Linked DNA regions of Astyanax mexicanus. The protein of the gene in region 1 purifies or fractionates together with the protein of each later gene. This does not show direct contact. Links are inferred from orthologs where the notes say so. Each region holds a gene or a part of one and is shown on either strand. Other genes may lie near its edges. The genes, in order: parp1, jun, xpc and top1b.

Evidence for each region.
Region 2: the proteins of parp1 (region 1) and jun purify together in Homo sapiens (co-immunoprecipitation; 3 studies listed by BioGRID and IntAct, with this or other methods). This does not show direct contact. The link is inferred for Astyanax mexicanus from reciprocal best matches to the Homo sapiens genes PARP1 and JUN.
Region 3: the proteins of parp1 (region 1) and xpc purify together in Homo sapiens (affinity purification with mass spectrometry; 4 studies listed by BioGRID and IntAct, counting the BioPlex papers as one, with this or other methods). This does not show direct contact. The link is inferred for Astyanax mexicanus from reciprocal best matches to the Homo sapiens genes PARP1 and XPC.
Region 4: the proteins of parp1 (region 1) and top1b purify together in Homo sapiens (affinity purification with mass spectrometry; 4 studies listed by BioGRID and IntAct, with this or other methods). This does not show direct contact. The link is inferred for Astyanax mexicanus from reciprocal best matches to the Homo sapiens genes PARP1 and TOP1.

Annotation. Positions count from the first base shown.
Region 1 is NC_064408.1:79,679,641-79,687,507, reverse strand, and holds the start of parp1 (poly [ADP-ribose] polymerase 1), read left to right. Parts: upstream 1-4,272; 5' UTR 4,273-4,384; coding exon 4,385-4,507; intron 4,508-5,481; coding exon 5,482-5,644; intron 5,645-6,199; coding exon 6,200-6,315; intron 6,316-6,442; coding exon 6,443-6,657; intron 6,658-6,665; exon of another isoform or gene 6,666-7,065; coding exon of another isoform or gene 7,066-7,867. Other genes in the region: adenosine receptor A2a-like, read right to left, coding at 7,066-7,867. UniProt on the Homo sapiens protein: Poly-ADP-ribosyltransferase that mediates poly-ADP-ribosylation of proteins and plays a key role in DNA repair.
Region 2 is NC_064408.1:62,906,315-62,914,120, reverse strand, and holds jun (transcription factor AP-1), read right to left. Parts: upstream 3,134-7,806; 5' UTR 2,659-3,133; coding exon 1,687-2,658; 3' UTR 937-1,686; downstream 1-936. UniProt on the Homo sapiens protein: Transcription factor that recognizes and binds to the AP-1 consensus motif 5'-TGA[GC]TCA-3'.
Region 3 is NC_064419.1:49,674,297-49,681,790, reverse strand, and holds the start of xpc (DNA repair protein complementing XP-C cells), read right to left. Parts: upstream 3,264-7,494; 5' UTR 3,231-3,263; coding exon 3,131-3,230; intron 610-3,130; coding exon 247-609; intron 1-246. UniProt on the Homo sapiens protein: Involved in global genome nucleotide excision repair (GG-NER) by acting as damage sensing and DNA-binding factor component of the XPC complex. Has only a low DNA repair activity by itself which is stimulated by RAD23B and RAD23A.
Region 4 is NC_064420.1:49,261,470-49,269,479, forward strand, and holds the start of top1b (DNA topoisomerase 1), read right to left. Parts: upstream 3,186-8,010; 5' UTR 3,063-3,185; coding exon 3,030-3,062; intron 2,636-3,029; coding exon 2,611-2,635; intron 1-2,610. Other genes in the region: zgc:114123 (protein spire homolog 1), read right to left, coding at 5,725-5,893. UniProt on the Homo sapiens protein: Releases the supercoiling and torsional tension of DNA introduced during the DNA replication and transcription by transiently cleaving and rejoining one strand of the DNA duplex.

The DNA.
Region 1 (7,867 bases):
ATTCTTCCAAGAAATGCGACAATCCAAAGGTCCATTCATGTCATGGAGATGTTAACCATAATGTTTGTGGGTGATAACAGGTTGAGAATGTTAAACTTTTCAACAAAAAAAAAAACAACATTTCTGCTGAACTGTTGATGAAAGGCATTACACTGACATGGCAGGAACTAGTTTAGTGTCCCATGACTTTTGCCATGTCCCATAAAAAGTTAAGGAATGCTGAACTGACCAGCAGCATGTGTGTCTGGGGCCTCCTGCATTAAATGTGTATGTTCACTCTGACAATTCTAGCCAGACACCACAGCGCTGTCCACTGTGGGTGGTGATGCCTTCTATATCATATTCCTGATACACATTTGACACTGTGGATTGAGGAATGTCACACACTCAGAAATGGATTGTCACATCCGTTTGACACCTAATACAAGACCTTGCTCCAAACTCTGGTAATTTATATCACATTGTTATGAGCACACTGGCCAATTGCCTCACTCACAAGATAATACCACACAAATCATACAGGTGTGGGTGTTCCCAAGCAACGCTTCATGATCATTTTAAATTCTGCTATCCTATGACTTGTGGCATGTACGTGTAATAGGCTGTCTGACTCACCTAGGCTGCCAATACAGCCTCAGATTTTTCCTAGATTTTTGAACATTGCTGTGAGGATTTTTTGCGTGTGTTTAGACATTTGCATACACAGTGATCTGTGCAAGCAAAGCCAAAAGATTTAATATTAATTCTGTGTCAAATGCATATTTTTGCTTCCTCATTTAAGAGAATATCCACTTGATGGCAATGGCAGTCTGAAATACCTCTCTCCTCAGATACATACTGTATATTTACATTGTCAATATTAATATTGTAAATATTTTATATGGAACATATTAAGCACATTTTATCATTATCATAGTACATGTAGAATACCATAACATGTTTGCAAAAGATCATTTTTAAATACAATCTTGTTAAGTAAATGTAAGGTGAGGCGAGATAAATGATAGGAACCCCTTTCCTTTATACAGAAATAAGGAAATTGCTGCTGTAATTACTGTAAAGTCTTCAAACTGTAATGTTTGACCAATACTGTATGTAATGCTCATTCAAATTGTTTTAGTATTAGATCTTTGTCATTTTCTTAATCAATTTTTATGCATTCTTGTGCAGTGAATTTCAGTTGACTGGATACACTCTTATAAAAGGGGTTCATCAATGGTTCCTTAGTAAAATAATTGATTCTTTATAGAACAACTCTCCATGGACATGACCACAAGAAACATTTGAATGCTTAAGTGGGTTTTTGGTAGTGTAGAGTTTTCTTCACAGTGATGGAAAATCAAAAAAATATCCACTATAATTATAAATTAAAGAACTATTTTGATAAGAGTGTAAACAAATCACACGTCTTCATTTACTCAAATTTACTGGACTAAAAGATTCTCTGGCTGAGACCAATTAAAAAAAAACATAGTGATATTACTTTATTTTGACTTTTGACTCTGTTTTATGTTACTATGTTTAATGCAGTTTTGTAATGTTCATCATTTTTAAACGTCAGTGTCAAAATGCAGCAGCCATATTTATCTTGCCTTGGAGTAGAAACTTATGAACAGTGAATGGATAATTTCTCTGTAGATTCCTGTATATTCTCAGACCATCAGCAGCACCCATGTTTATCAGGACTGCATGCCTTCCTCTAAAGTCGCTGTTATAATCAATGCTGTAATTACTTACCCATTCCAATAGTTTATTTTCTACTGAACTGCTGGTGCAATCTGTGACAAATTCTATGTTCAAACTGGCAATGTATCATCTAATTATCACATAATAAAATATGTTACATAATGAAAAAAAAAATGCTTTTGCTCATTAAGACTGCTGCAAAGTGTAAACATACCCTATACACCATGAATTCAATCCATGCTTATCATCTCTTATCATCTCATCATTGCTGCACACTATGACAGTTCCTGAAAATTATATTATAAATATTTAAACCCTGTGGATTTATCTTGCAATGATTTACAGCTGTTGCCCTTAAACAGTCAAGTGAATTAGCTGTCTAATATTTCTTTGTAATAAGTGTCCAGAAATCTATCAGTCACTGGAGGTTAACCTACTTTATGTGGAAAAAAATGTATCTATTTATCAGGATCCCACAGAACTACCACACGGCAAGTATCAATTGGGTGATGGATCATTCTCAGCACTGCAGTGACACTTGCACGGTGATGGCAAAGTTGATCAGACACAGCAGTGCTGCTGGTGTTATTAAACGCCTCAGTTTTATTGCTGCACTGACAGGCCTATAATTGAAGAATAGGGTGAAAAGAGATAATAAAGTATACAGACAAACAGGAGGACTAGAGTCTATATTATTCAATATATATTATATAGAGTCTATAATTACACTATTTAGCACTGTAAAACACAAAACGTAATATTGTTCTCTTTAATCAAAATTATAAGCCAACTAAACAAGAAATAATGAATGGCGCCATAAAATATAGCAAACTAACTGCCTTAACTAACATTATCAAGTTTCTTGTTAGAAGTTCGCCTAAGTAAATCATTTGTGTTGGAAACTTTACAAATTGTAATAGTTGAAAACTACTTGAGGCCAAGCCAACTACTCTGCACACCTGATGTTGTTTGCATATTCGGCGTATCCTTCCACCTCTCACTCACTATCAGTGTGTAGTCATTCTCTAAAAGGTGTCTTTTCTTGGAATTTATATGTATATATTTATATGTGTTTTATCGTAGTTAACTGCCTGGTCTCAGTTAATGACATATACATAACAGTCATAAATTCTCAGTTGCCAACTTAAATTCACAAAAGTATTGTGCTCCTTATGTTTGTTGGATTTATGATAAAATATGTGATTGACACAAGTTAATTGTTCTAGTTGATCTTAAAGGATAGTCAGCACGTTTTATAGAATCTAAATCAGGCCAACTAACAGAACAAATTGAATTTTTAAGTTGGTGAGTCTTAATAATAAAGTTTTTTATGCATATAAAAAAGATTATCTGAACTAAAGATTTCTAGATTTCTTTTTTCAAAACTTAAAAGTTTGAGTTCAGAAAACTCCAGAGAACTCGAACGTCCCAACTAAGCTTCCATAATATATTTGCACTGTAGTAAAATGCTTTCATTTTTAATGTGCATTTATGTACCATCCTTCTCCTTTACTTGCAGAAACAATGCTGTGCGTCGATCACCTGGCCAGTGTTTTTTAACCAGTCGGCCGCCGCCCCCCAGTGGGACGTTGAGGTACTGCAAGAGGGTCGCAGGTCAAAATGAATATATATTTATTTATTTTGCAAAGTAAAAATTCTTCCAATATATAGGTAATTCAGAAAATGTAAAGTAAGATGTAGCAGAAATTTATTCAATTTACAAAACATGTTTAGGTCGAGCTCGTTGATGGTTTCATGGAGTAAATTATTAATACAGTTTTTGGGACAAGAAAATAATGAAGCTGCAACATCTACAAGTGCAAGCATAAATTAAACCAAGAAAAAACAAGAAAAGCAAACATAAATTAAAATTAACAAATATAATAGGCTCCATGTTCACAGGAACCAAATAAAAGAAAGCAAATAAAATATGATTAAAGGTTTTGCGGTGCATACACACATATTTTAGGAATGCCAACATTATTAAAATATTGGAAAAACATGCAAAATAAAAAAAGCCTAAATCTAGAATTCCTATTAGAACCATTATGCTTTATTTTGACAAATTATACCAGAGGAAGTAACATAGAAACCAGATATTAATAGCAAGAATTCTTCTTTTGATTGCTAAGTAAATTAGTTGATAGTGGAAAACAAATAACATAATGGAGGGAAGGGGATAATGATTTGTATTTAATGAAAAACATGCTAACCTACAAAAAACTACAATTAAAAACTGAAAAAAAAAAATTTATAAAACAAAAAAAATATTTCTGACAAAATAGCGCCCAGTTTTTCAGTTATTATACACGTAATGTATGTATTTACTTTTTTCTGTACTCTTAGATATAGCTGCATTTTTTCTTCCTTAAGGAATTGTATAAGGGCTTTAAAATAAGACATATTATACCTGTATTGTCCTTAAAGCACAAATGTTAAACAAAAAAATATGTTAAAAAGTTTTGCGGCGGGTTACCCTGACACAGAGGACAGAATCACTTACATGCGCTTCAGATCCACGGCGGTGTGGGGGTGCTGGGGCTGACCCGCCTCTGTGACTCTGAGCTCGATTAGCGGTGTCTGAAACCCTCATTGTGTTGGTGTCGATTGGTGAGGTCTGGTATTCTGCGCGGGCTGGGATTGTTCAGTGTTCACTCTGAAGCCGCTGTTTGTGTTTTTGCACAGTTGAATATTGGAGATGGCCGATGCGCAGGACGACAAGCGGTACAAAGCTGAATATGCGAAGAGCGGGCGAGCCTCCTGTAAGAAATGCAAGGACAACATCGCTAAGGACTCTCTGAGGATGGCCATCATGGTGCAGGTACGGAGCGCTGCACGCCGTGCAGGAGGAGCCGGAGCCGGGGTTTAAACAGTGTCTGAAACACGGGTTTAAAACCCCGATTAGTGTAGTTAATTAATTATCCCGGGCCTGTCTCTGAACTCACCACATTCACCACAGGGCCAGCCAGACTCTCCGCCTCATTTAACGTCTTATTGAGAATGAATTTTATACCGTTCCACCTTAAACGTTGCCCGGTAACACTGTGGGCCCACAGGCGGCAGCGTGTAGCTGATACGCCATTTAAGGTGGAACCGAAAATCACAATAACAAGCATGAGAAAGAGGAACCAGCAGCTCGAGCTGTTCCAGGCCTGAGTCAGTCCCGCTGCATGAGGCGCTGCAACTGGCTGCCTATCAGCTAAATAAAGGGATGGATGTTTATTCTAGTTACTGCTTTAACACAAAAACACTCCTAATGGAAAATACATTTACAACATGTTACCAAAGTATTGTACACTCAGTCTCCTTCAGAAAAAGGATATTTGACCATACCATTTTTCATTTTAAATTATTTTACATTCACTGCTTTTAAGTTGTGTGTTTTATTTTATATTAAGTGTAGTTCCACAGGTTTAAAGCACTGCAAAGGAAACAAAGGAATTCAGAGATTTAGTGAGAACTTAACTACAGGAACTCTGCTTTGTGTACAGTGGGGGTGTACAGCTTTATAGCATGTTAACATACTGTAAAATACTGTATAACAGATCAACAGTGAGCCTACACAAGCCTGTATTTACTCTTGTTGTTAACTATTATCTTGAGCATTTATTTCTACATAAAGTTTTATTTATGTATTTAAAATACAAATGCATTTTCTGGTGCTTTGTTTGTTTATGATGGTAAGTTGTCTGTTTATGTCCAAATAATAAAGTGTTTGTAAGTGGTCATTTGTCTCAACTTCTTTGGTTGCAGAAGTGATGAATGAAATTAAGGTTTTTGTGTTTTACTCCACAGTCGCCCATGTTTGATGGAAAAGTTCCACACTGGCATCATTTCTCCTGCTTTTGGCATCGAGCTGCAGTGCAGGCGACCTCAGACATATCTGGCTTTACCGATCTCCGCTGGGAGGACCAGGAGAAGGTGAAAAAAGCGATTGAAGGTGGAGGCGCTCCTGGAGGTAATTGTATTTTATTATTTAGATAAATAAGACAAAGCACAATCTTACCAAACGAGCAGTATAACATGTTCAGTTAGTTAGAGGGTGTCATAGTAATTCGGGGAAAAAGAGGAGAATTTTGCTTGAACAGCAGTGTTTTTAACACCACACAAAAAGAGTGTTGATCAGCTCCATTTACTTTTAAGTCCACCACCTTCCATAGAAGAGAAGCTGCATCTCTGGTTGAAGATTCTAGATTTAGTACATTTAGCCAAACATTCTTGCTCAGAGAGATGTCTGTTATGAAGCTCCAGTAAAGCGTCACAGCACCTGATGTTTCTGTCCCATCTGAACCTTGTAACTGAGATTCCACTTTAAAAATGATCAGATCAGATGTATGAACATTTGGGAGGATGTTTTTTTAAATTCAGCTATACATACATATATATATATATATATATGTATATATATGTATATATACAGGAAAATAAACTCTCGGAAGTGGACATGGTCTGAATAAGTTGTATACTGGGCAGTGGTATAGATCATTGTTTCTGTATCTTTTAATTCTCTCAGCAAAAAGTGATCAGAAAGGAGCCGCTAAAGGAGAGAAGACGCTTAATGACTTTGCAGTGGAATATGCTAAATCCAACAGAAGCACCTGCAAGGGCTGCGATCAGAAAATTGAGAAGGTACATTACTGATGCCTTTATATATTATTGTTTTAGCAGGTCATGACTATATTTGAGTTTTCATTAATGTAACCCTGCTGAAATTAAGAATTGGTTAAAACATTTTTACGACTTTGCTATACTTCAGGATCAGATTCGTGTGTCAAAGAAAACAGTGGACCCCGAAAAGCCTCAGTTGGGCCTAATCGATCGCTGGTACCACACAAGTTGCTTTGTGAGCCGGCGTGAGGAGCTGGTCTTTAAACCTGAGTACAGTGCAGCTCAGCTTAAAGGCTTTGCTGCCCTACGAGCCGAGGACAAGGACGAGCTGAAGAAACGACTGCCTGCTGTTAAGACTGAAGGGTGAGTGTCAGCCTGTATACTAATCATAGTGTCTTATGCAAAATACAAATACACTTTAACAATTGTATTGTTGTTTTTGTAATGTAAAGTACAGTTCAGTTTTATTTGTATTGAAATCATTGCAGAAAAGTTGTTTTTTTTCTCTGCACAGTCACACTTTTCATTCAGTTTTTTTTCCAAAATATGATTGTATGCATATTATTTTAGTTCCCATGACTTTGCCTGTAACTTTTGTAAGCCCTATTATGCAGTGTAGCAAGCAGTTCAGTAACTGGGAATGACATATGTTCTGCTTGAATGTTAAAACGTTTTTAAGCCTAAACAAAATCATGAATCATGTTTGAGAAGTTATAGTTATTACAGGAAAAATTAACTGCCTCAGGATGTTTGTGTGTTTGTACCTCCACCCTAATCCTCTCCATCTCTGACACCTCTGAAGCACAGGAAGATTCCCTTGAAGGCTTCTCTGAAACTCTTCATCTTGTAGGCATAGAGGAACGGGTTGACAGCTGAGTTAGCATGGGAGAGGATGATGGCAGTGAGCAGCAAGGGCAGGGGCACAGGGCAGGTTGGGCACAGTAGCAGAAAGCAGTTGATCACATGCAGCGGGATCCAGCAGACAGTGAAGAGGAAGAGGACTAGGAAAAGTGAGGTGGCAGTCTTCATTTCTTTCTTAATATTTGCCGCTCCATCAGCTCCACCGCCTGCCACGCCTCGTTCTGCAGCGATTCTCCTGACCTGGTGCTTGACTGTGACAAAAATCTGCGCATAGATGAGAAACATGACCACTAGGGGCGTCAGCACGCAGGCGAAGAAGTTGAAGTAGACCATGTAGGTCATGTCCACCACCAGCACGAAGAAGCAGTAGCCTGAGTCGGGTGGGGTTTTGTGCCAGCCCATTATGGGCACCAAGCCAATGAGGAAGGCTAAAACCCAGGTGACCAGAATGACCAACAGTGCGTTGCGTGGCGTCATTAGGCTGTGGTAGCGAAAAGGCATGAAGATGGCCACATAACGCTCCACTGCCACAGCCAGCAAGCTGAATATGGAACTTTGGGTCAACATGATGAGCACAGACAGCATGAGCAGGCACAGGTACAGGTTGTTGCGCGGGATGCCAGTGTCTGTCAGGATGGCACAGGGAATGGCCAGTGCACCCACACACACGTCCGCCACTGCAAGAGATACCAAAAAGTAGTTGGTAACTGTG
Region 2 (7,806 bases), about 17 Mb from region 1:
ATTACAGTTGAACACGTTTTATAAAGTGCTCATGAGTTTACACTGGTGTATTTTACTGAACAGCAGAGGGAGTGTTTACTCCAGGATCAAACTAGACTCCGGCGTGACCTAGCAAAAGAGGGACAACGGCGCCCTCTAGTGGCACATTGTCCCAGGTTTAAAAAAAATGTCGTTTTAAAGAAACTGGTGTGTATGAGGTTGTTCTTGTAGAAGACCTTGTCCAAAGTACATTTTATAGAGTAGAGCTGCAGGATCATCATATACCTACATGTTCAAAGACGAAATGTAATATTGATTATAATAGCAGTAGGCTTTAATCTGATGCAATTCCTGCTCTATTGTTGAAACACATGATAAACAATACTTTTTGATAGTGTAGATGCATTGCTGTTTCATTTGTATACATTATATCGTATTTTGTTTTGTTTATTGTTTGGTCTTTAAACAACTTATTAATCTGTTGTTTATTTCTAATGTATTTATTTGCTATTTGTGACTACCTGCCAAGTTCAAATGAATACCTCAATATTACTGGCTATCTCTGTAGATACAGTTAGCCAATACCTAATGTTAGTGTATATCATATATTAATGTTACACTACACTGTGAATTTATAACTACTATACAACACTTGAGGAACTGAAATAGTGCTGAAGGCTGCATGTCCCACTTTAGTACTCATTTAAATGTTAAATATATATATAGTTATTTTAATTGAAAATGTCTGTGCTACATAGTCTTTACTATAGTAGTGTGTAGTCTGTTTATTCTGTGTGTAACTTTTGTAAAGTTGTAAGGTGGACGTTGTTGGAGCATGGCTACACTAGACAAACCTGAACCTTCAAGACTGTGTGTGTGAAGTGAAGCATTAGTCAATAGTGGCTCTGAATGACATGTTTCAACATGTTTGTTCCATTTACAGACACAACAGACCCATTGTTTTCGTTTGACATCCTTTATTACAGTTCATAAATATTGATTAGTTTCTGATCAGCTCAGAAAACAAACATAAAAAATTACGTAGCACTTTTTATTACAAATGGTAAACTTAAGTACTCCCTGTTGATCTTATTTACAAATAACAATGAGTGAAACCTCATTAAGAAACTTTTTAGAAAAAGAAACTTCGAAAGAAAAGTCGAAAGCTTGACTAACTCAAATAACGTCGATTTGATTCATCTGAAGAACAAAAATGACATTTTGCAACTCAGAAGTCAGGCAGCTCTTATCAAAGGGTCTTTTTTTAACTTTATAGGACGCAACTTCCTGCTGTGGCCCGCCAACATGGGCCGAGCAGAGTCCCTAATGCAGTTCTCTTTTTCTAATACTGAGTGCGCCTGTACGCTTCGGTCCATGCACGACTTGGTCAAAGTGAACAAGGTTGAGTCTCTTTCTTTCGTCATTAGAAAACAACAGTAATAAAAGTAACAGAGTGAGTCTTTCATGCTGTCTGGTGCTGTGGACCCAGCTTGGTGGAGGTCTGGTAAGCTCCACATCTGGACGTCCTTTTGCACGGCACGCGGCCAGACAGGGTCCCCGGGACAGTCCTGGAGCACTTTACGGCTTCACCGGCCCCCCGTCGCCGCAGGCTCTGGTGCACAGCCCCTTTTACACAAGCGTGTCCTTTCAGCCCGTTTGTCCCTTCTTTCCTCGGCGCCCTCTCTGCAGCTCCTTGGAGTTCCCGCTTCAGAAGGTCTGCAGCTGCTGCGTCAACATCAGCTGGCAGCCGCTGTTCACGTGGTTCATGACTTTCTGCTTGAGCTGGGCCACCTGCTCGCGCAGCATGTTGGCCGTAGACGCGAGCTCGGAGTTCTGAGACTTGAGCGTCTTCACCTTGTCCTCCAGGCGTGAGATGCGCTCCAGCTTCCTCTTGCGGCACTTGGACGCGGCGATGCGGTTACGCATGCGCTTGCGCTCGGCCTTGATGCGCTCCTGGCTCTCCATGTCGATGGGCGACAGCGGCGGGGTCTCCCCGGGCATCTCGGGCACCGTCTGCGGCTCCTCCTTGAGTGCCTGTAGCCGCGGGTGCTGGACGGGGAGCGGCTGTGGCGCCTGTTGCTGTTGTGGTGGAGGCGCCAGGGGCTGAGGCGCCGTGGTGGTGTAGCTGACGGCAGGGAAGCCCGGGGCCGCGCTGCTGCTGATGGCAGGGTTAAAGGTGCTCAGGTCCGCGTAGACCGGCGGGTCGGCGCGCGGCGGGGCCGAGCTGTAGGCTGCCGCGGCCGGGGCCGCCGCCATGGAGCTGTTGACCGTGGTGCTGGTCTGAGGGGGCGCCGAGGTCCCGGGCATGTGCTGGTGGTGCAGCTCGGCCAGGGCCCGCACGAAGCCCTCCGCGAAGCCCTCCTGCTCGTCCGTGACATTCTTGGGGCACAGGAACTGGGTGGGCGTGGGCGTGGTGGTGATGAGCCCGTTGCTGGACTGGATGATGAGCCGCTCGAGCTCCGGAGAGGCCAGCTTAAGCAAGCCCACGTCCGGCGACGTGAGGAGGTCGCTGGCCTTGGCCCGCAGGTGCGGCTTGAGCGTGCCGGCCGGGTCGGTGAGGTTGAGCGTCATGCTGTGCTTCAGCACCTTGGCGTTGTATCCGAAAGCGGCGGCGTCGTGCTGCGAAAAGGCTGCGCTCAGCGAGTCGTCGTAGAAAGTAGTTTCCATCTTGGTCGACATAGAAGGAGAAACCAAAACTTTGTCTGAGAGTGGAGGAGCCGTTTCACTCACCAGCGAGCGGTAGAGATCTTCACCACAGCTCTCTCTCACTGTGTGAGGAGTTCAGCTGGAAGTCCGACTCAGAAGCGCTCGCCTCTCTTGGTGAATGAAGTGTTGTCTCTCAGAATAGAAGAGGAGAAGGGCAGGAGCTAGCAGCCGCTTCCCAAACTTCTCGAGCCTCGTCCTCTCTCTCTCTGTCTCTCGTTGTCCCGCGAGAGGAAAAAGTTTGAAAAAAGTTGTAAAAACAGTCGGAACTACGAGGTCTTGCGCCTCTCTCGCGCTGTCAGTCTGTTCACGGGACTACTGTGTGTGTTGTTTCTCTGTTTTAAACTCCTCTCCGCTCTTTCTCTCTCTCTCTCTCTCCGTACCTCCCTCTCCCTGTCCCGTGTGTGCTGTGAGCTCCTCCGCCGCGCTCTCCAACCTTATCTGCCGCCGCTGCCACACTAAAAATAGGGGTCCGATGGTGATGTCATGACCGCGGCCTCTGATTGGCTATGGGCGTCGAGGGGGCCGAGCCGTGGCGCGTTGCCTAGACGACCACCAGAAGATTCTTTCGGCGCGCGGAGGCTCACGGGATGAGGTAATGCTGCGAGTGGACGAGCGCGCGCGCTGCATTGTGGGATTACGTATTGTTTTTGAATATCTGGTTACGCGCTTTAGCTGCTTCAGACTGTGGCGGGACACCAGTGTGTGTGTGTGTGTGTGTGTGTCTATGGGACGGAGCTAGTGTTAGTGTGTGAGGGGAGACCGTGATTTCTGCTCGCTTAAAGATGTTTTAATTACTTTATTATAAGCTCTTTTTATTTGTATGTGTTATTATAGAAGTGAAATATATATATATATATATATATATATATATATATATATATATATATATATATATATATATATATATATATATATATATATATATATATATATGTACAAAATATAACTACAGGCTGATAATGGAACGGGAGAGTCCGGTCTGTGTTCTGTTTTTTAAAGCATAAATAATAAGTGTGGTGACACATAACTCGCCTGGTATTAATAATATAATCGTTAATCATGCCTTAAGGTTTAGAAAGTGTTTTTCTACTTTTCTTTTTTTTTGTTTTGTTCAGGAGATTAATTTCGAAACACGAGCAGTAGTCTGCTTTTGTCGTGGCAGAGTGTGTTTTTACTCACGGTCCCTTCCAGCCAATAGGAGGTGGAGGGGGCGTGGTCTGCAGTGGAGTGACAGCAGGCCACAGAGCAGGTCCAGCTCAGGGAGCCTCTCTAAAGTTCACACAAACAAAAAACGAGAAGCGAGGCTGACGCTTTCACAACAAGCCTGACTAACAAACTCTCGAAATGCAGAGGGACAGAGGAAAGTACAGACATCTGAAACTGTGCTTTAAGGCTGGGGCTGGTGTGTTTATCTGCTCGCGCGAGTCTGACGTGTGGGCTCAGCTGCAGTTGTTTTGGTTTCTGTTATCAGTCTGCGCAGGACCTTCACAGGAAAAGCACCAGAGGAGCTCTGAAGTGAAACTTGTCCCCGGTCTCTGGCACATTTCTGTTTCACTGCTCCACTGAACCCAGAGCTCAACACACACACACCACGTCAGCATGACGTTGCACTCAGGTTTCCTCGTGGCAGTCCTCAGTCGATGTTCACCAAAACCCACTGTTTAGACCTCCTGCTCAGTCCTCACCCTTAATCTGCCCTAAACCCTGTCATTATTTTAGCTTATATGGTTAAACGGCATCAACAGGCAGTTGTTAAAGTTAAGGTTGAGATTTAAAGGTTCTAATTTGTGACTGAATGCAGCAAAATAATATTTTTACTCACTTATTGTGAAATTAACATTCACTATTTTACATTTATTACAATACTTTTCAAAACAGACTATTTTAGATTTAAGATCAACGTGGTACATACACACCAACACATATATACATTATATTTTGTATATCTTTATGTTTCATAATATGACTACAAAGAATATAACACATGTATAACTCTGTTATACCATGTAATACAAAAAGATTATATCCGATTGTAATCTATCTTCCTCTATCCTGCTATTTCCCTTTGGTCTCCTTTTGGCCCTGTATTTTTTACCTACTTCTATGTCTTCTATTACGAAATGAACATCATTATTGTATAAGTCACTTTGGACAAAAGCATCTTCCGAGTGTAATGTAATATATACATTCTCACACATGTAAAGATAAATGTGTATATGAATGAATCTGGTTATTTCATAGCTCTTATATTTGGCACAGTCAATGTGACATATTGACAGTCTGTGTAATATTCTGTCTTGTATTGTGTTTGTTATCACACAAAACACACTTTACTGATCAAGGACCTGATAAAAAAACTTTCTTAACTATAAAACATTTTAGAATGTTTCTGTTGGTTTATTTATCATGGCATTGTAATAAAGTAGATAAATAATGTAAAAATAAAAGTGATTTTATTTAATCAACATTTGCAGTACCAAAGAGTGTGTTTGGTTTACTATTTTGTCTTTTCAGATATTTGTATTTCTATTTCTATTTGTTCAGTGATGCTGTGCAGCACGACTGACTTGTGGTATTTTGCATTTAAACAATAAATGTAGGTCAATCCAAAATCTATTGCCCAGCCCCTTTTTCCTAATGGCCTTATGCTGAAACAAATCTACTGTACAAAACAAAGTGTATTAGCAAGAAGAGGTTCAGAAATCTGAAACACAGCCATGCTGCTCATACATAATCCTTATTCTGATCCGCAATCGAAAGCCTTGGGCAAGTTGTTAATCATTTCTGTTTCAGCGTTGGATCTAGGCTGAAGTGTGTTGGGGGGAATCACTGCTGAATGGAAAATTCGGTGCGCACTAATGCTAGATGTACAGATTAGCAGAGATAAAGAGAGAAGAAGGAAGTCCTATAAGATTTTTGGTTGAAATAGAAAGAAAGAAAATGAAAGCTCTGTGGCCTGCTGGGGGCTGTTGGCAGACTAGCAGCTGCCAATCAAAGGATTATCGTCATTATGTTTAGCTGAGGTTCATATTGCTGTGGATCCTGCCCTTAGGTTTGGGACCCTCATGTAAAAGTAAAGCTTTTTCCAAAACATGCCTGTATCTGACTGCCTTTGATTGCTTGTTGATGAAGATTAGAACGAAAGTAGGCTTTTAAATCCACTCGTTTGTGGCTTTGTGGTTGACTGGGCTTGTCGGGACAACTTTTGAAGAAGCTCTGTGTGTGTGTTTGTGTGTGTCTGTGTGTACTCTTGAGATTTAAATTGTTGCTATGCTTATTTAAGGTATCATAGTTGCTGTAAATAAGTATGATTAACAATACATCCAGACTGGTAATGTTTAATGTGTCATACACATTTATTAGCAGCTTATTTTGTTCTACTGTCCGTTTCAGATGCATTTCCATTGGCCCTGCGCTTGTCTAAAGGTCAGATGAGTTTTATGGGCATGTGAATCTGTGAGACAAAGGTCAAGTGCTAGAGCAGTATCCTCTTATCCTGCATCCTCTTTCAGCACAGCACAATGCTTTCCCTAGGACAGAAACTGGAATGCCCAGTACTAGTTCAACATGGAAACTGAGACTTCTCTGTTTTGAAGTAGCTCTTGTTTTTTTTTTTTTTTTGGCCTTGTCCAGCACAGTCCAGAAATTGTAAAATGGGCTTAACAGTGAGGAACAGCTTCCCAGCATGCCTTTTCCCTGTTTCCATGTTACTTTAGTTTTTTTCTTTTTGTTTTACTGGTTATGTTTGATTGTGTGAGAACAAGATTTATTTCAGACATTTTAGTTTAAATGTAAATAGTTTTAATGAAAAGTAATTTAATAATTTTTGAATTTAATATAAACAATTATATCATATTTAGTAAAAATGACTACAATATATAAGCAAACATTTAAAGAGTAGCACACAAGCAATTTTCATTTATTTGTAAGTACATTTATTGTGTTCATGACAGGCATACCGATTATAACATTCGAAAGATGTTCTGTGATACAGAAAAATTACGTTTGTGACTTTGTGGTTTTAAAATCCTATTTACCACCCAGTAAATAAAATGACAAGCTCTGTTTCTATTTGCTGGTTAACGATGCAGTGTAAATTAAGTATTTTATTCTAAGGCATCTTTAATACCCGTATTTCCTTAAATAACAAAACTTAAAATAGATTTTCACAGGCAAACCTGTATTGATGCAGTCTAAGCTCAGTTATCTGAAACATGGGTGAGTGAAACATAAACATGCGTCAGGTGGACATGTTTAAATTGACAATAAACAAAATGACTGCTATATATAGATGGGTTTGTGAAGGGAATTCTTGGTCTTCAGTCTAGCAGGACAGAGTGTAAATGTGTCATGTTTATGTTGTCAGTAGTTATATGTCTCTATGTCTGTGCCACCCTGGTTGGTCTGGACCTTAAAATATACCCACTCCTTAGCTTTTCTACTTACACCCATGGAAAAAGTCATTATTTATACATTTGTGTGTACTGTATACTATAACGTTTAATAGGGCTGTAGTGCTAATATCAGGTATCCATAGCTGCGGCACGTGTGTTTGCTTTGACATACGGCCTGCCATTAGCTAAGGGGGACTCTGTATTTGGAGATCCATCTCACTGGTGGTCCCCACGTCTGTGAGGAGGGCCTAGTATAAATGTGGTTCATCAACTTCCCTTAAAGACAGTGCCAGAGCAATTAACATTTACTTCATGCTGAAGCTGTGAAAAACGAACACACAGAAACAGATTCAAGTTAGCATTAAAACGCATGCAGTTTTCAGGATTATTCGTATTTTTAAAGCTAAATAAGTATTCATGTTAAAGAGGCACCCTTTTTATGGAGTGAATTCTGCTACTGTAAGGTGCATCCATTGCTGACACAGGTGTTCAACTGAACAAACACAGCTTGTATAGTCTTCATAGAAAAGCATTGCCAGTAGAATTGGAAGCTGTAGAACAACCTCACTTGAGCCTATAAGGTTACCATGGGCAATGCCAATCTGCAACCAGAGAATATTAAGTCTTCCAGCATTGAGCTGTGGTGCAGTGGAACTGTGCTCTCTAAAGTGATGTAGATTCATCCAGTACTTGTGGATGGAGTGTTGGTGAAACATTTGAGATCCAG
Region 3 (7,494 bases), on another chromosome or scaffold:
TACTTAACTAATTAAAGAAAAATCTGAAAAGAAGAATTTCAACAACTTTGAAAATATTCCCAAGTGCATTCACAAAAAACACCATCAAACACATTATGATGATGAAACTGGCACTCATCAGGACCAGCCCAGTAAAGGATGAGCGAGAGTTCCCTCTGTTGTACAGGATAAGTTCATCAGAGTTACTGACTGATGTTTATTTTACCTTTAAGGTGCAGATGATCACAACAGCATGAATGAACTCACCTTCCACCTCCTCCCAGTCCTCGTCTTCATCACTCTCCTCCTCTTCCTCATCCTCCTCTTCTTTTTTTACCTCCTTCTGATCTTCCTCTTCTTTGATCTGGTTGATTGGCGGCGCAGTGATATGTGGAGATATTATACTGACGTCCTCACTGGAGTCACTCATATCATAAGGCTCCGCCTTCAGAGGCTCTTTCTTCAGGGGCCCCGCCTTCGGACGCCCCGCCTTCATAGGCCCCGCCCCCAAAGGCTCTTTGTTCTTGAAGTATTTGCTTCTCTTCGTATCTGAAGGATCATCTGATTTTCTGGAGGCTCGGACTCTGGGTTTGAGGTTCTTCATCACGGTTTTGGCTGCAGAAGCCTTTTCTGATAAAATACAAACCAAATATATAAGAAATATATATATATATACACACACAATACAATTCTGTATGATACTTCACAGCATCCGTGAGTTACTGAAGAGGATTAAAGACTCAGGTAAAATAATCAAATACCATTAATTACAGATTTATTGGTGTTATTTATTTTTTAGACACACAATTTAACAATCAATAATTTTTCACTGCAGGTTTATTAATCCTATTTACTTAGGGATTATAGCGCCACCATTTGGAGTAATGAAGCAATAACTTTAATTATTCTAATTGGGGGGGTATGGAAGCCATATTCCCGTCACATAAAATAATAATATTAAAAAAATATATATATATATATATATATTTATGCTATCGCATTTTTTTGTGATACTATCGATAGTTAGTCATTATCTTGAGATACTATTTCATGATTTTGCGATAGTAAGTCATTATTTTGAAAAAAAAAAAAATTATAAGCAATCACACTTGCTATCACAGAATATTGACTTAGTGTCTCAAAATAATGACTTGCTATCTCAAAATAATGAGTTCCTCAGTGTAGCTTTGTCAGGCAGCATTTACTGTTAGCCGCTAATGCTAATGCTTATGCTGCTGCACCCAGCCTTAGTGAAAATCTGGAAATCTAATCTTACTGTAAATAAATGGAATCGTTTTACTCACCCAAATAAACAGTTTTCAGGAGAGAAATCTGTGTAGATTAACATCCAGCACTCATTTAACTTTAAAAGATGATGGTTTATTTAAAAGTTACAGTTTTATTTACTTAGCTTAGCTTTATCTAACTTCTGTGTAACTAACTTAGTCAGTGTTGCATTATAATGCACCTTATAATTTAGTGCGCCTTATAGTGTGAAAAATATGGTAAACAAATTTAATTTACAGATTAGAGTCTTTATAGTGTACAGTGTGTGTGTGTGTGTGTGCGTGTGCAGATGCTGCAGCAGCTACTGTTAATACAGCTGCACAAGAGCAGCCATGCAAAACCCCGCCCCCTTCACCAGCTGCAGCCTGCAGAAATGACTGCACTCGCATTAACAACAGCACGTTACACAACCTCGTAACTCACACACATCTCCCAGCCTACAGCAGTCACTCATATTACAGTACAGCACCGTTACCGTAAAACACTGATAATAAAATATACTGTTTAATAAGAGGAAAAGTCAACATATCGTACTATAAATTGATAAATACTTTTTCATGACAGATCTCGCAACATTTATTTATTAAGTATTTTGTTATAATTAGAGTATTTATTTTTGGAATCTCAGCATTCTTGTCTTATTGCCAAAAAAAAACATTCCCAATTTAGAGTTTATCCACCCAAACTGGGATTTCAGCATGTTAGCAGGTTAGCTGTATAGCTAATAGACACCCATGTAACCACCCTATTACCTTTAGTTTTGGCAGGTTTACCTTTTTTAAAATATAGCACCAATTAATAGTTTGAACACACCTTCTAATTCAACGTTTTTATTTTTTAGAATGTTAGATTTTATTGTCATTCACATCATATCTTACAGTCCAGTTTACACTCAAAAGAGCAGTTGTTAAAATAGATAAATATAAGATAAAATAAAATAGAATAAAATGGATAAAGATAAATGCACAAAATGGGGAGAGTAGGCAAGAACGACAAACTGTGACAAAACAATAAAAAATGCAAAATAATTCATGCTCAACTGATTTTGTAATAGTCTTTAATATTTGGGGGAAAAAAGAGATAGATAGAGTTTTTTACTAATGTACTCTAAATGCAGAGAAATGCAGAGAAGAGAAATATCTAATTTTGTGGCCTTATTTATTTTGTGCAGTTTTGATATTTAAATTAATTGTACTAACTTTTATACATGTTCCTCTTCAGTTTCTCAGTAAAAAATGCTCTTAAATTCACTTTGCATGCATATGTATTTTTAAACAAGTTTTTAAAGGCTATTTTTGAAAAATTAATTTGTTTGGTTTGTATTTTATAAATGTGGGACCCGGGCTGAACCCCTGTTCTAATCCATATTATGAGATCAAGATCTACTCAACTAAGTAAAGTTAAATAAAATATAAATGACTTTAAGAAAAAATTAAGGTCAGTCAATGCGAAAAGAAGAATTTTAAGAACTTAAAAAAAGTATCCTCAAGTGCAGTCACTGCAAAGACCATCAAAAACGTTATAATGATGGAACTGGCACTCATCAGGGCCACTGCAGGAAAGGAAAGGAAGAGCGAGAGTTTCCTCTGTTGTACAGGATAAGTTTATCAGAGTTTCCAGCATCAGAAACTGCTAAAAGTTAACAAACAGCTCCCAGATAAGAGTATCTAAATACTTCACAGAGTATTTTGGTTTGTTTAACACTGTTTTTAAGTTACTACATGATTCATTATGTGTTCCTTCATAATCTGATACATCACTTTACTATTCATTTACTGAATGTAGGATAAAAAGCGAGAGTGCTGTATTTGCTACATTGTTATTTATTAATGATGATCAGTGATAGAATGTATCTATTCAGTACCTTTGATGTTGTGGGTTTTGGAAGTTCTGCTCTTCTGCTGGAGCTTCTTTGTTGTGTCTCTTTCAGAGCCAGTATCTGCTGCCTGCTTACGTTTAGCCATGTTGCCCCCCCAGCCCCTCTGATACCCCTGTAATGCCCCTCTGCTGCTGCTGTAATGCTCTCCGGGTATGAGGGCAGGTAAACTGTAGTACAGGTGGAGTAAAGTTGTATAATCTCTCATTCAGACCCTGCAGTTACCCAACACCCCCTCCATCCTTTCATAACACACCACTGCCAAAAACCACACCCCCCTCTACACGTCACATCCGCTTCCTGTCAGCCCCGTCCCGCGTCCAGGAGAGCACCAACCGGCGGGGGGCAGCACTGCACCGAGTTAATACAAGAACAGCGAGCAATACAGCGCTGAAAATAAATAAGAGAGCACTTAAAAATGATGAGTTTCTTTGATTTTACCAAATTAAAAACCTCTGGAATATAATCAAGAGGAAGATGGATGATCACAAGCCATCAAACCACCAAACTGAACTGCTTGAATTTTTTACACCAGGAGTAAAGCAGCATAAAGTTATCCAAAAGCAGTGTGTAAGACTGGTGGAGGAGGAGAACGTGATGCCAAGATGCATGAAAAAAACTGTGATTAAAAACAAACCAGGGTTATTCCACCAAATATTGATTTCTGAACTGAATCTATTCAATTCTTTTGAATCAATATTTGGTAAAATAAACTTTTATCCACCTTCAGACAACCTGGTTTATTAGTGAACACCGTGTACCAGCTTTACGTAATCTTATTAATTCTTAATTTGAACTGTTTTAGTTTTTTCTTAGTTCTTTATTTTAACTTTTTATTTCTTCATTATTTTATTTTTAATAGTTTTGTGTTATTGATTTTTAACTTAATTTGGTTTATTATTTATTATTTGTATTTAATCCAGCTGTGTGTAATTTAGTCTCAGTATAAATACAGCTGTTCTGTGAAGGCCTCAGTGGTTTGTTAATAAACACTAGTGAACAAACAGCATCATGAAGACGAAGAGGAACTCACCAGACAGATCAGAGATAAAGTTGTGGAGAAGAAATTTAAAGCAGGGTTAGGTTATAAAAAAAATCCTAAACTTTAATCATCCAAAAATGGACCTGAAAAAGTATTCTACAACTGTTTCTACAAACCTACCAAGACATGAACCAACCATCCATCCAAACTAACAGATCCAGCAAACAGGAGAGCACTGATCAGAGATCAGCCGAGACCCATGATCACTCTGGAGGAGCTGCAGAGATCCACAGCTCAGGTAGATCAGGAGAATCTGTTCACAGAACAACTATAAAGCTGTGCACTTCACAAATCTTAAGCTTGAGGTTTTTACAAGCCACTGCAGACAACCCAAGTCTCCCTGAAGCTGCGGGAGTCTCCCGCATTTGGGTAGCGGCTCCCTGATGCCCGCGAGTCACATATAATCTCCCGGAATTCAGAACGAGCGCCCCAAACGCCACACAGGCCACAGACTTTTATTCTCTAATCGCGTGTGGGAAGGAGAGAGAAAAAACAGAGAGGGTTCAGTTTTTAGTGTGGGCGGGCAGTGTTTTTCCCCCTCCCGGACGGGATTTGTTCAGTGAGTGAGAGAAAGCAGATCATGGCGGAGGCAATATTAATAATTATTGTAATATGATATGAAATGATTTTGATGTGCAATTTTTTGTGATATTGTAACTGTCAATGTTTGTCAAATAAAGGCTTTTTTTCCAAAAAAAAATAAAGGAAAGCAGAGGCCGGTCCTTCCAAAAAGTAAAAAAAGAAAACTAATTTCACCTCTGAATACTCTAAATGTAATTTAAAAAAGTATAATTAAAAGTAAAGTTTCGTTATCCTTTGGGTGTGTGTGCAATTTTTTTTTGGGGGGGGGGGGGGGGGTGAAATCAACTTTTGCAACTTGGGATGTCTGCCACTGTATGATCAGTGGAGCTGAAAAAGTAATGCGTTTTAATGTTATGGGAGTAGAAACAGGAGGTAGTTATAATGTTACGCTTGAACGGAGCACAGTGAATCAGAATGTGTTTTGTTAGAACAGTTGAGCAGAAAGCTAAAGGGTTAATGATGAGTTTTATTAATGCGTTATGTCTGTGTGTTCAGTAAGGCTTCGTTCTGCAGTGTTTATTAAATAATAATCAGTCGCTGCTGCAGAATAAACTCAGAGTGATGAAGCTGATGATGAGTCAGGAAGAGCTTCTGCAGCTCCTCCAAATGATTAAATCTAACGCAGCGCTGATTTATGGCGCTCCAGCGCAACTGTCTTTTGGCTCTGGGGAGAATAAAAAACTTTAACGGCTAACTTTTTAATCTTTTAATCAGCATAAACAAACACAAACTTTAATAAAACTAGCTAAAATTAGCTTTTAATACCTTTTTTTATTATTTTCTTGTAAGGTGGAATAGGAAAGTTAGCTTGTTGGCTAACTTCTAAGAATAATTACTAGCATTTTTTATGGTCATATGAACTCATGAAAACACTGCACTGACAGATTTCATTTTCCAGCAGGACTTGGCGCACTGCCCACACTGCTGAAAGTACTAATTGGTCTTATACAATATTACTCTGAGGAAAATAAAAAAAACTTTAACTGCTAACTTTTTAATCTTTTAGTCAGCATAAACCACCATAACATTATATAATAACCATAACAACATTTTATTTAAACTAGCTAAAATTAGCTTATTAAGTAGCTTTTATTTGATTTTATTTTTCATTCTGTTGCACCATTTAAGGTGGAATGGTAAAGTTAGCTTGTTAGCTAGCTACTGAGAAAAATTTGACTAGCATTTTTATTGTCATATGAACTCATGAAAACACTGCACTGACTTTGGACTTAAAAGGATGTTCAAATTAGGTAAAGCACACTAAAAGTGCATTTTTAATTTAATATACTTTATTTAAAAAATACACATTGAATATACTTTCTTTGTATTTTCCTAAAATGTATTTTTAAGCCATGCTTTAAATTATACATTGTGTTGATAAAAAATATATATATTGGCATTAAATACTGCTTAAAGTTCACTTTAGTGTAGTTCTTTTTTCTTTTTTTTAAGGTGTACATAATACGTGCATCAATAGTAGTGCTACATTTACAATATACTTTAAGTGCATAAAAATTATGTTTAAACAACACACATACTTAAATCTACTTGTCACGGATGACCCAGGCAGGGAGACGAGGAGGCGGACACAAGTGCAGGTAGGGTGAAAATAAATTATAATTTAATAAATAAATAACAAGATAACAAGGAACAAGTAACATGAAACAAAGATACAAAAATAACCAATAACAAATCAAAGAACCTAAACTAAACCAACTAGAGATAATATAAATAAACAAACAGGGAATATATACAAGGAGCTAAACTAGGAATCAACACAAACAGGGTATATACAGGGAGCTAGGGAACAAGAAATAAAACAAGAAACTAGAAATAAACAAGGAAATAAACTATAAACGAGAAAACAAGAAATAAACAAGAAACAAGGAACCAAGGCTAAGAGAGACACTGAGAAACGTTATGAAAACACAGAGAGACGAACGACAGGTGAAGGTGCAAAGACCGACAGAGACAAAGTGGCACAGGGGATCTATATAAGGAAACAAGAAACACTCTAGAATTGGAAACACCTGGGGAAGGGGCGGAGCTACAAATGAGACACAGGTGGAAATCTACTAAGACGGGAGACACAGGGGAGCACAGGTCACGTGGGGAAGACACACAGAGACACGAGACAGGGCTAAGACCTGACACTACTTAAGTTTGTTGTATGAAAAAAGCACTCAAAAGCACAATTTAATAAGTTACCGTAAGTTGTTCCAAAAATAGTACATTCAGTATGTATTTAAGTATGTATTTTAATTTGTGTATTTTTCCATGTTAAGTATACTTAAATTAAATATACTTAAATAAACTTAATAGCCTACACTTTTCTTTTACAAGGGTCTGCTGACAACTTTTATGGAGATGCGTATTTCATTTTCCAGCAGGACTTAGCACACTGCTGAAAGTACAAATTGCTCTTGTATAAAATTGTATAATATTACTCTGGAATAACTTACTCTGAAACTTACTCTGAAAATAAAGAAAACTTTAACTGCTAACTTTTTAATCTTTTAATCTGCATAAACAACCATAACATTATATAACCATAACAAACCTTTAATAAAACTAGCTGAAATTAGCTTTTGTTAGCTTTTATTTCATTTTATTTTCTATTCTGTTTCACTATTTAAGGTGGGATTTAAGAGTTAGCTTGTTAGCTAGCTACTGAAACAAAGTACTAGCATATTATATGTTCAGGCGTTTACAAGCCTGAGATAATGAC
Region 4 (8,010 bases), on another chromosome or scaffold:
TTAAATAAAAGAGTTTGTTACAGGTTTCTAATACTACAGAGATTCACTCTGCAGATTCTACATGTAAAGATGCACAATCTCAAATCATCCAATTTTGTAAATTGCATTAAAACAGCATCTGATTAATCAAATAATTCAATTAACCTCCAAGCCCTATGCTACTCTATCATTATTACGTCAGTGTCGTTCAGCTAACGGTTTTAAAATGATGATACTGTTGTTTAGTACGTATATTTCATTGAATTTACGTACCCTGTACAGACACGCTTCAACTTTAACATATCACTGAGTCATCTAGTTACATTCTTTATCTTGTTATTTGCTTAATCCTTGCTTTAAATCATCACAATTTCTGGGATAAATCAATTATATCGTCCTCCGCTAAGTGGTGTCAGGACTGGCTAAATTACTACAAAACATACAAATAAAGATAAGACATATTGAGATTATCAAATGTCTTCGAGGGCATGTAAATGTATTGTACGATAAATCGATAATGTAATTATCGTGACAGACCTAAATGAATCATCTTGATTACGTTCTCTACATTCTGTTATTAGGTTCATGAAAATGTAAAATGATTTGGTTTTAGAGCATTTCAATAGGGTTTCATTCGATGTGATTACCTCACAAACTGCTGTATTAAACTAAAATTGAGAAATACAACAAACATACACCTTTTTTACAGTATTATGTCATCAATATAGATACTGCTTAGTTAAACTTAAACAAATCACTGAATAATCTACTGGAAAATCTCTAATTTGTGTAATTTGCTTAATCTTGGTTTTAAGGATATATTTTACAATATAATAATAATAATAATTAATCACCAAAAAGTGGTGTCACGACTGGCTAAATTAATACAAAAATACAAATAAAAAACAATACTTTCACAGTAGTATGTCAGTATAGATACTGCTCAGTTAAACTTTAACATATCACTGAATTGTCTGGTTACATGTGTTAATTGTGTTTTTTGGTATATTTTATGATATATCGTCCACTGCAATTTAGTGTCACGACTGGCTAAATTACTCCAAACATACAAATAAACATAAAAGACAATATTAAGATATTTGATAATCAACCAGGTCATATACGCGTATTGTACGATAAATCGATAAATGTGGCTATCGTGACAAACCTAACTGAATCACTGAATCGTCGAGATAACTTTACAGTATTATGCCAGTATAGATACTGTTCAGTTAAATTTTAACATATCACTGAAGTATCTGTTAACATTCTCTACCTTGTTTTATTTGCATAATCCTGGTTTTAAGTTAAATTATCACAATTTCTGGGAAAATATATATCGTTCACCAAAAATTGAATAGACGAGATTATCGAGTATTTCAAATATTATTACGGTCATGTTTGTGTATTGTATGATAAATCGATAATGTGATTATCGTCACATGCCTGAGTGTACAGATAACTGCTGTTCATTTTAACTGCAACACATCACTGAATCACTGAATCATTTAGTTAATGCAATCTCTACCTTGTGTTATATGCTTAGTCCTGTTTTTAAGGACATATTTCACGATATATTGTCCAGCAAAAATTGATGTCATGACTAATTACTAATTACTAGAAATAAACATGCAAATAAACATAATAGATGATATCAAGATTATCAGATGTGTATCGTGTATCGTACAATAAATCGATAATGTGATTATCGTGACAGGCCTGAGTGTACAGGTAACTGCTGTTCATTTTAACTTTAACATATTACTGAATCATCAAGATTACAATCTCTACCCTGTGTTATTTGCTTAATCCTGGTTTTAAGGATATATTTTACGACATAGCCTCCACCAAAAATGTGTCACTACTGGCTAAATTACTACAAATAAACATAATAGACGATATCAAGATTATCAGATGTGTATCGTGTATCGTACAATAAATCGATAATGTGATTATCGTGACAGGCCTGAGTGTACAGATAACTGCTGTTCATTTTAACTTTAACATACCACTGAATCACTGAATCATTTAGTCAAATCATTCTATATCCTCTGTTATTGTTTAATTCTGTTTTTGTTTTCTGTTTTTTACGTGATTATACAGTATGTGAATCACTTTTCTTTTTGCCACAAGCAGTATTTAAGTAAATACGTCTTAATTTCGCGTTTTAATTCGATTTTAATAAGAGAATCGTGTAGCTATCCTCTGGTGAATCGACTCCTGGCGATTCGGCTCTTTGACTCGCTCGTGCAGTAACTACAGGCAGAGAGCAGAGAGAGGAAAAAGAAAATGGCGCAGAGACTAAGTCCTCAACCCCCATTCCTCACTTTCAGCGCTGAAATACGACCCGATCCCGGCCCGAACCCACCGAACCGGGCTCGGAGTCTTATAAAACACCTCCGGTTCTGTCGGGATCGCGGGGAATATTGGAGAATTCGCGGGGGTAAAGCGTGTTTTTGGGCGCTGGTTTTGAACAATAGGCGGCTGTGAGTGAGGGTGAGGGGACTTAGTCTCTGGGACGCCATTTCTGTTCTCAGAAACTAACAGTCTCTCCTGCTGGATCCAGCGCTCTCACAGGCTTTAAACACCCCAATATCGCCCCAAAACACAAAAATTTAGCTCAAAACTCACCGTTAGACCGAGATCCAGAGTCCATCTGTGGAAAAACAGCGGGGTTAGTGCGGGAATCGCCTCATTTTTCATTTAGAACAGCAGCACATTGTTCACTGTTAGCTACAGGAGGGCAGTTTAAATGGCCAAACGTGGGGTCAGCCAACTTAACATACAGAACAAACCCTTAAAAACCTTATATACACCTTTTTAAAAATTTAATACACTATTTAAAAATTAATATTGTAATTTCCATGCCTTTTAACTACTGTAATCAGCTACTATTAGCAGCTAGCTAACCCAGGTTATTAGATAAGAGCCACACACACAGAGAGAGAGAAAGCTAAGCTAGGAGCTAGGTTACAGTAAATAAAGCAGTAAAAGCTGTATTTCTATCTCTTTTTCTCCGTATTTCTTCGCGTTTTGCTGGAGCTCGGTACCTGGTGGTGCCTGTGTCCGTTGTCCCCGCTCATGGTGGGCCGGTGAGGGGCTGGAGAAGGCTGGAGCAGAGTGTGAGAGAGAGAGAGACAGTGTGTGAGGGACAGATGCCGGTAGGGAAAAGCTCGCTGGAGCTCAGACACTTCGCTTATCAGGCTAAGTCCCACTCTTCCCCCACTGCGCATGCGCAGCGCCGTTCAAAAAAAACTCCTCACGCAAGCACACGCTCCGCTCGCGAGGGGGGCGAGTCCGAATCCGACGCGTGGGGGGCACTACGCAGTGCACACTATCGAGTGAGCACTACTATAAATATAGAAACAATACAAACAAATCAACACACACACACACAAACACTGTACTCTGTATTATATTGAGAGTGGGTAATGGGTCAGTGTATATTAGCTGTACTGAGACTTATTTATTTATTTAAAAAAAAATAGAATATAATTGAAAAGTTGCTTTATTTCAGTAAATCAATTGTATAGATGTATTACACAGAGGGATCTATTTTAAGCGTTTATTTATTTTATTGTTGATGATTATTATGGCTTATAGCTAATAACAAAAAAACAAAACAAAACCAGAGTCTCAGAAAATTAGATTTTTATACAGTCTAATTTACTGATTATCAGTGATGGTTTGGAGAGACATGTCATCTGCTGGTGTTGATCCACTGTGTTTTATTATCAAGTCTAAAGTCAGTGCAGTTTTGTTTTCCCACAAAATCTTACAGCACTTCATATCTTACAGCTTCCCTCTGCTACTGACAACTTTTATGGAGATGCAGATTTCCTTTTCCAGCAGGACTTGGCACACTGCCCACACTGCCAAAAGTACCAATTGGTCTTATTATATAATATTCAAACTTTCTGAGACACTGATTTTCAGGTTTTCATTGGCTGTAAGCCATAATAATCAACAATAAAATAAATAAACACTTAAAATAGATCACTCTGTGTGTAATACATCTATATAATATATGAGTTTCATATTTTGAACTGAATTACTAAAATAAAGTACATTTTAATGATATTTAAATTTGTTCAGATGCACTAGTCTATGCACTAGTGAGAGAGAGAATTGAAGATATATTATTGTGTGTGTGTGTGTGTGTGTGTGTGTGTGTACAGTACCAGTCAAGTTTGGACATACCTTCAATTCAGTGTTTTTTTTTTTTCATTATTTTAAAATGTTTCGCATTGTGGATCAATATTAAAGAAAAACAGATTTATTCTTCAAAATAGACACGAAAACAGCAACTTTACAGAGGAGATAAAACCATCTTAACTTTCAATGGAAGTTAATGTAATTTCTATTGTTCTAAAACAAAAAACACACAAACGTTTTTGAATACTTTTTTATTTAACTATGGTGTTTAGTCCATTAGCAGTGCTGCTTTTTAATTTTCCAACTTATCAATTACTTTATTACTGCAGAATTTCTTCACCTGTCAGATTCACTATAATTCTAATTCTCCTCTTCTCTGCTCTGCTGAAACTGAGACTCAGTCCTTAATCATGTTAATCTGAGCTAAAGGCTAAAGCTAAAGCTGTTTCCATGTGGGTCAGCCAGACGTCTTCCTGTAGCAGTTTTTTTTCTCCAGTTTCTAAGAGTCTTTATTTGAAGGTGTAGGAAACAGTACTCACCGCTCTCTGACTTCATCTGTAATTTCCCTAAAGAAAAGAAAAGACTTCTACTTTTAATAGTTACAGAGTTCTCTGTGTCTTTATCTAGTTATTATGATGATGAAAGTGTGAATATGCTGTAAGTGTGTGAATGCTGCAATAGAGAGTAGTAACTTCATCTGTTATATCACTGCTTTACTACAGACAAAGACTTCAGAAACTGACATTTAAAAAAAATCCTTTTCCAAATCTCAGTATATTTCCATTGTTACAGACCAGAAACTGCTACAGGAAGATGTCTGGCTGACCCATATGGAAACAGCTTTAGCTCAGCGTAACACGAGAGAAGAATTAGAGTCTGGCAGATGAAGAAAAGCAGTAATAAAGTAATTGTTAAGAAAGATAAAATAATAAAGCAGCTTCTCTGGATCATACAGCACTGCAGATACTAGACTACTAAACCAATAGAAGTGTTTAAAAACTTTGAATCACTCTCAAATGAAGTGATTAAAAATAGTTTAAAAATTAAAATAGTTTAAGTAAACTAAAAATATGCATTTATTTACTTTTTTTTGGACTTACCGTAACAGGTTTTAGATTAAAATTCTGTCAATCAGTGGGGACATGCAATACTGTGCTAATGCAAGTCAGAAAAGAAAAGGAAAAAAAGAAAAAGAAAAATAAATAACAAAGAGAGACTACAGGAGACCAAATATAGAAAAAAATACATTTATTTACCTTAATATTACATTTAAAACTGTCTTTAAAAAAAGGTAAACATTTCATACAACTAGAACGCTGTTACGAGTGAACGCCACCGTGATTAGCAGCCCAAAAATTAAACCAGATCTCTAACAATAAAAAATAAACGCACACGGAAAAAAACAGGACACACCTCCACAGTGAACGTGGCTATAGGAACAGTGTTAAAGTGGAGCTTAGAAGCACCAAAATACTGTGTAAAAATGAGAAAAACACAACAATATCTTAAGACAAACACCAAAAAAAATTCACGCCAGCATCCACCTGCAGCGTCCGCACGCGATAAAAACGCCTGACCCGGTTCTGAGGGTCAGATCTCCTGAGGGTCAGTGATCGGGCAACGGGACTGTGCTGTATCACAGGCCTCCACCAGAAGGTCCTGGCAGCCCGAGCAGACGTCCTGACTGTGCCAGTCCCTCATCGCCAGGCTGTGGAGGGACACCGAGCTGGACATACAAGCTTCTAGAACCAGAGGAACCCTGGGAAAGGGACAAAACCAAACCCATCAGTCACAAACACCTCCATCATCCATATTTCAGCTCCACTGATCATATACTGTAGGAGCACTGAGCAGCAACAATGAAACAATGAGGTGTTTAAGAACTCCAACAGCACTGCTGTATCTGATCCACTCACTGTACCAGCTAAACACACACACAAAATACCTCATACACCACTACCATGCTAATCACTGCTAATCACTGCTAATCACTGCAATGCTGAGAATAAATGATCCAACACCCAAATAATAATAATAATAATAATAATAATAATAATAATAATAATAATAATAATAATAATGGCTCTGTGTTGGTTTTCTCTCATGTGGAGTACTAAACATTGTACTTATACATAAATTAATACTGTGAATGTACTTGAGATTACTTTCAAAAGACCATCAAATGATGAAACTGGCACTCATCAGGACCACCCCTGGAAAGGAAGACCAAGTGATACTGTGTTTAAACAAATTGTAAGAGAACTGAAAAGAAGACGGGCTATTGATAGAAAAAAAAACAATAAAAATATGGGACTTTCTGACCTTTTAACTTAATGTTACTATTTTGATATGTGAGAAAATGTGATGAAATGTGATGATATTTTGTATTTGATTTTTGTATTTGTAAACAAAAAAAATGATTTTTAATAAAGTTTACTAAAAAAAAAAACCTTAAACATGACAATTTTTTGTTAAATTGTATTTGCAAGTCTTTCAATCGATAAACAAGAAGAAATTTAATAAATCCACAACTTTTCTAATGTCCAGCATTAAAAAGCTTTGCATGGAATAAGCAAAGGAAAAGCATATTACTCTCATGTGTTCTTTAGGGCCAGTGTTTTTGGTATGATACAGATCTTGAGAATAAAGGGATTTCTTTGGTGAATTATGGTAGAGACTGTCCGTTTTTATTTTTATTTTTTAATTATTGTACGTTTGCATTTCCACATGTAGTAAAACAGGGTTCCCTTCTCTGTTCTGCATTTTGTACAACTATCAGGGATTTTATAATTTAAGTTATTGGGTTTTTCAGTAGTTATATACTAGTGCATCTAGTGCAAAAAATCAAATATTATTGAAAAGTTACTTTATTTCAGTAATTCAGTTGAAAATATGAAACTCATTATATAGATGTATTATATAATTGGCTTACAGCCAATAAAAAAATAAAAATTTAAATATTATACAAGATCAATCGATACTTTCTGCAGTGTGGGCAGTGTGCCAAGTCCTGCTGGAAAATGAATTCCGCATCTCCATAAAAGTTGTCAGCAGAGGGAAGCATTTGTATCAGTTCTGGATCAATAGTGATTGTGCTTAATAAAGCTTTTTACCTATTTATCTGCTGTAATTTTATGTTAAAGATCCTCTTTTTAATGTGTTATTTATATTTTATTTATTTTTATGTGTTTCTTATTATTAGGGAAACAATTCTAAACACAGCCCTAATTTTAAAATATTAGTTTTAGCTTAGTTACGCACTCACTATATAGAAACACTTGTGCACTGTTCACACTCTGCTTCACACTGTTCACACGTGTAAACAGCTCGATCCGAATTCATTCAAAACAAAAGCAGAGCGTTTACCTTTCCACCTCTTTACCCTGCAGCGGTTCAGCCCCACCCATTCACACTGACTGAAGCTATAAGGAGTGTTGTAGTCTGGACTGATTCTGAATGAGGAACCACACAGAGGGAAGGTATTTAAACCATTATAATGCAAATGTTTCACCCCGGGGGAAATCGGTACATTCTGACTGTTTTCTGCACAGGAAACAAAAACGGAACTGTGTGAAAAATCATTCTGAATGTTTTTAAATACATTTTAGAAGACCTGCTGCTCAAAGCTTAAAAAGGTACACTTCAGATTTAGATATAGTACATTTAAAATTTAAACTTCAGCATATTATTCCTGTATCATGAATATCAAAAAATCTGAATAGTGTACACATACCAACTCTAATAATCTTAACAATATAATGAAAATTACATTACATTACATATTATTGCACGTTTGACAGGTCTGTTACTTTAAGAATATTTTAAACATATTTTTCACCAAATGAGAAAATATTAAAACGGTTATGTGAACAAAAA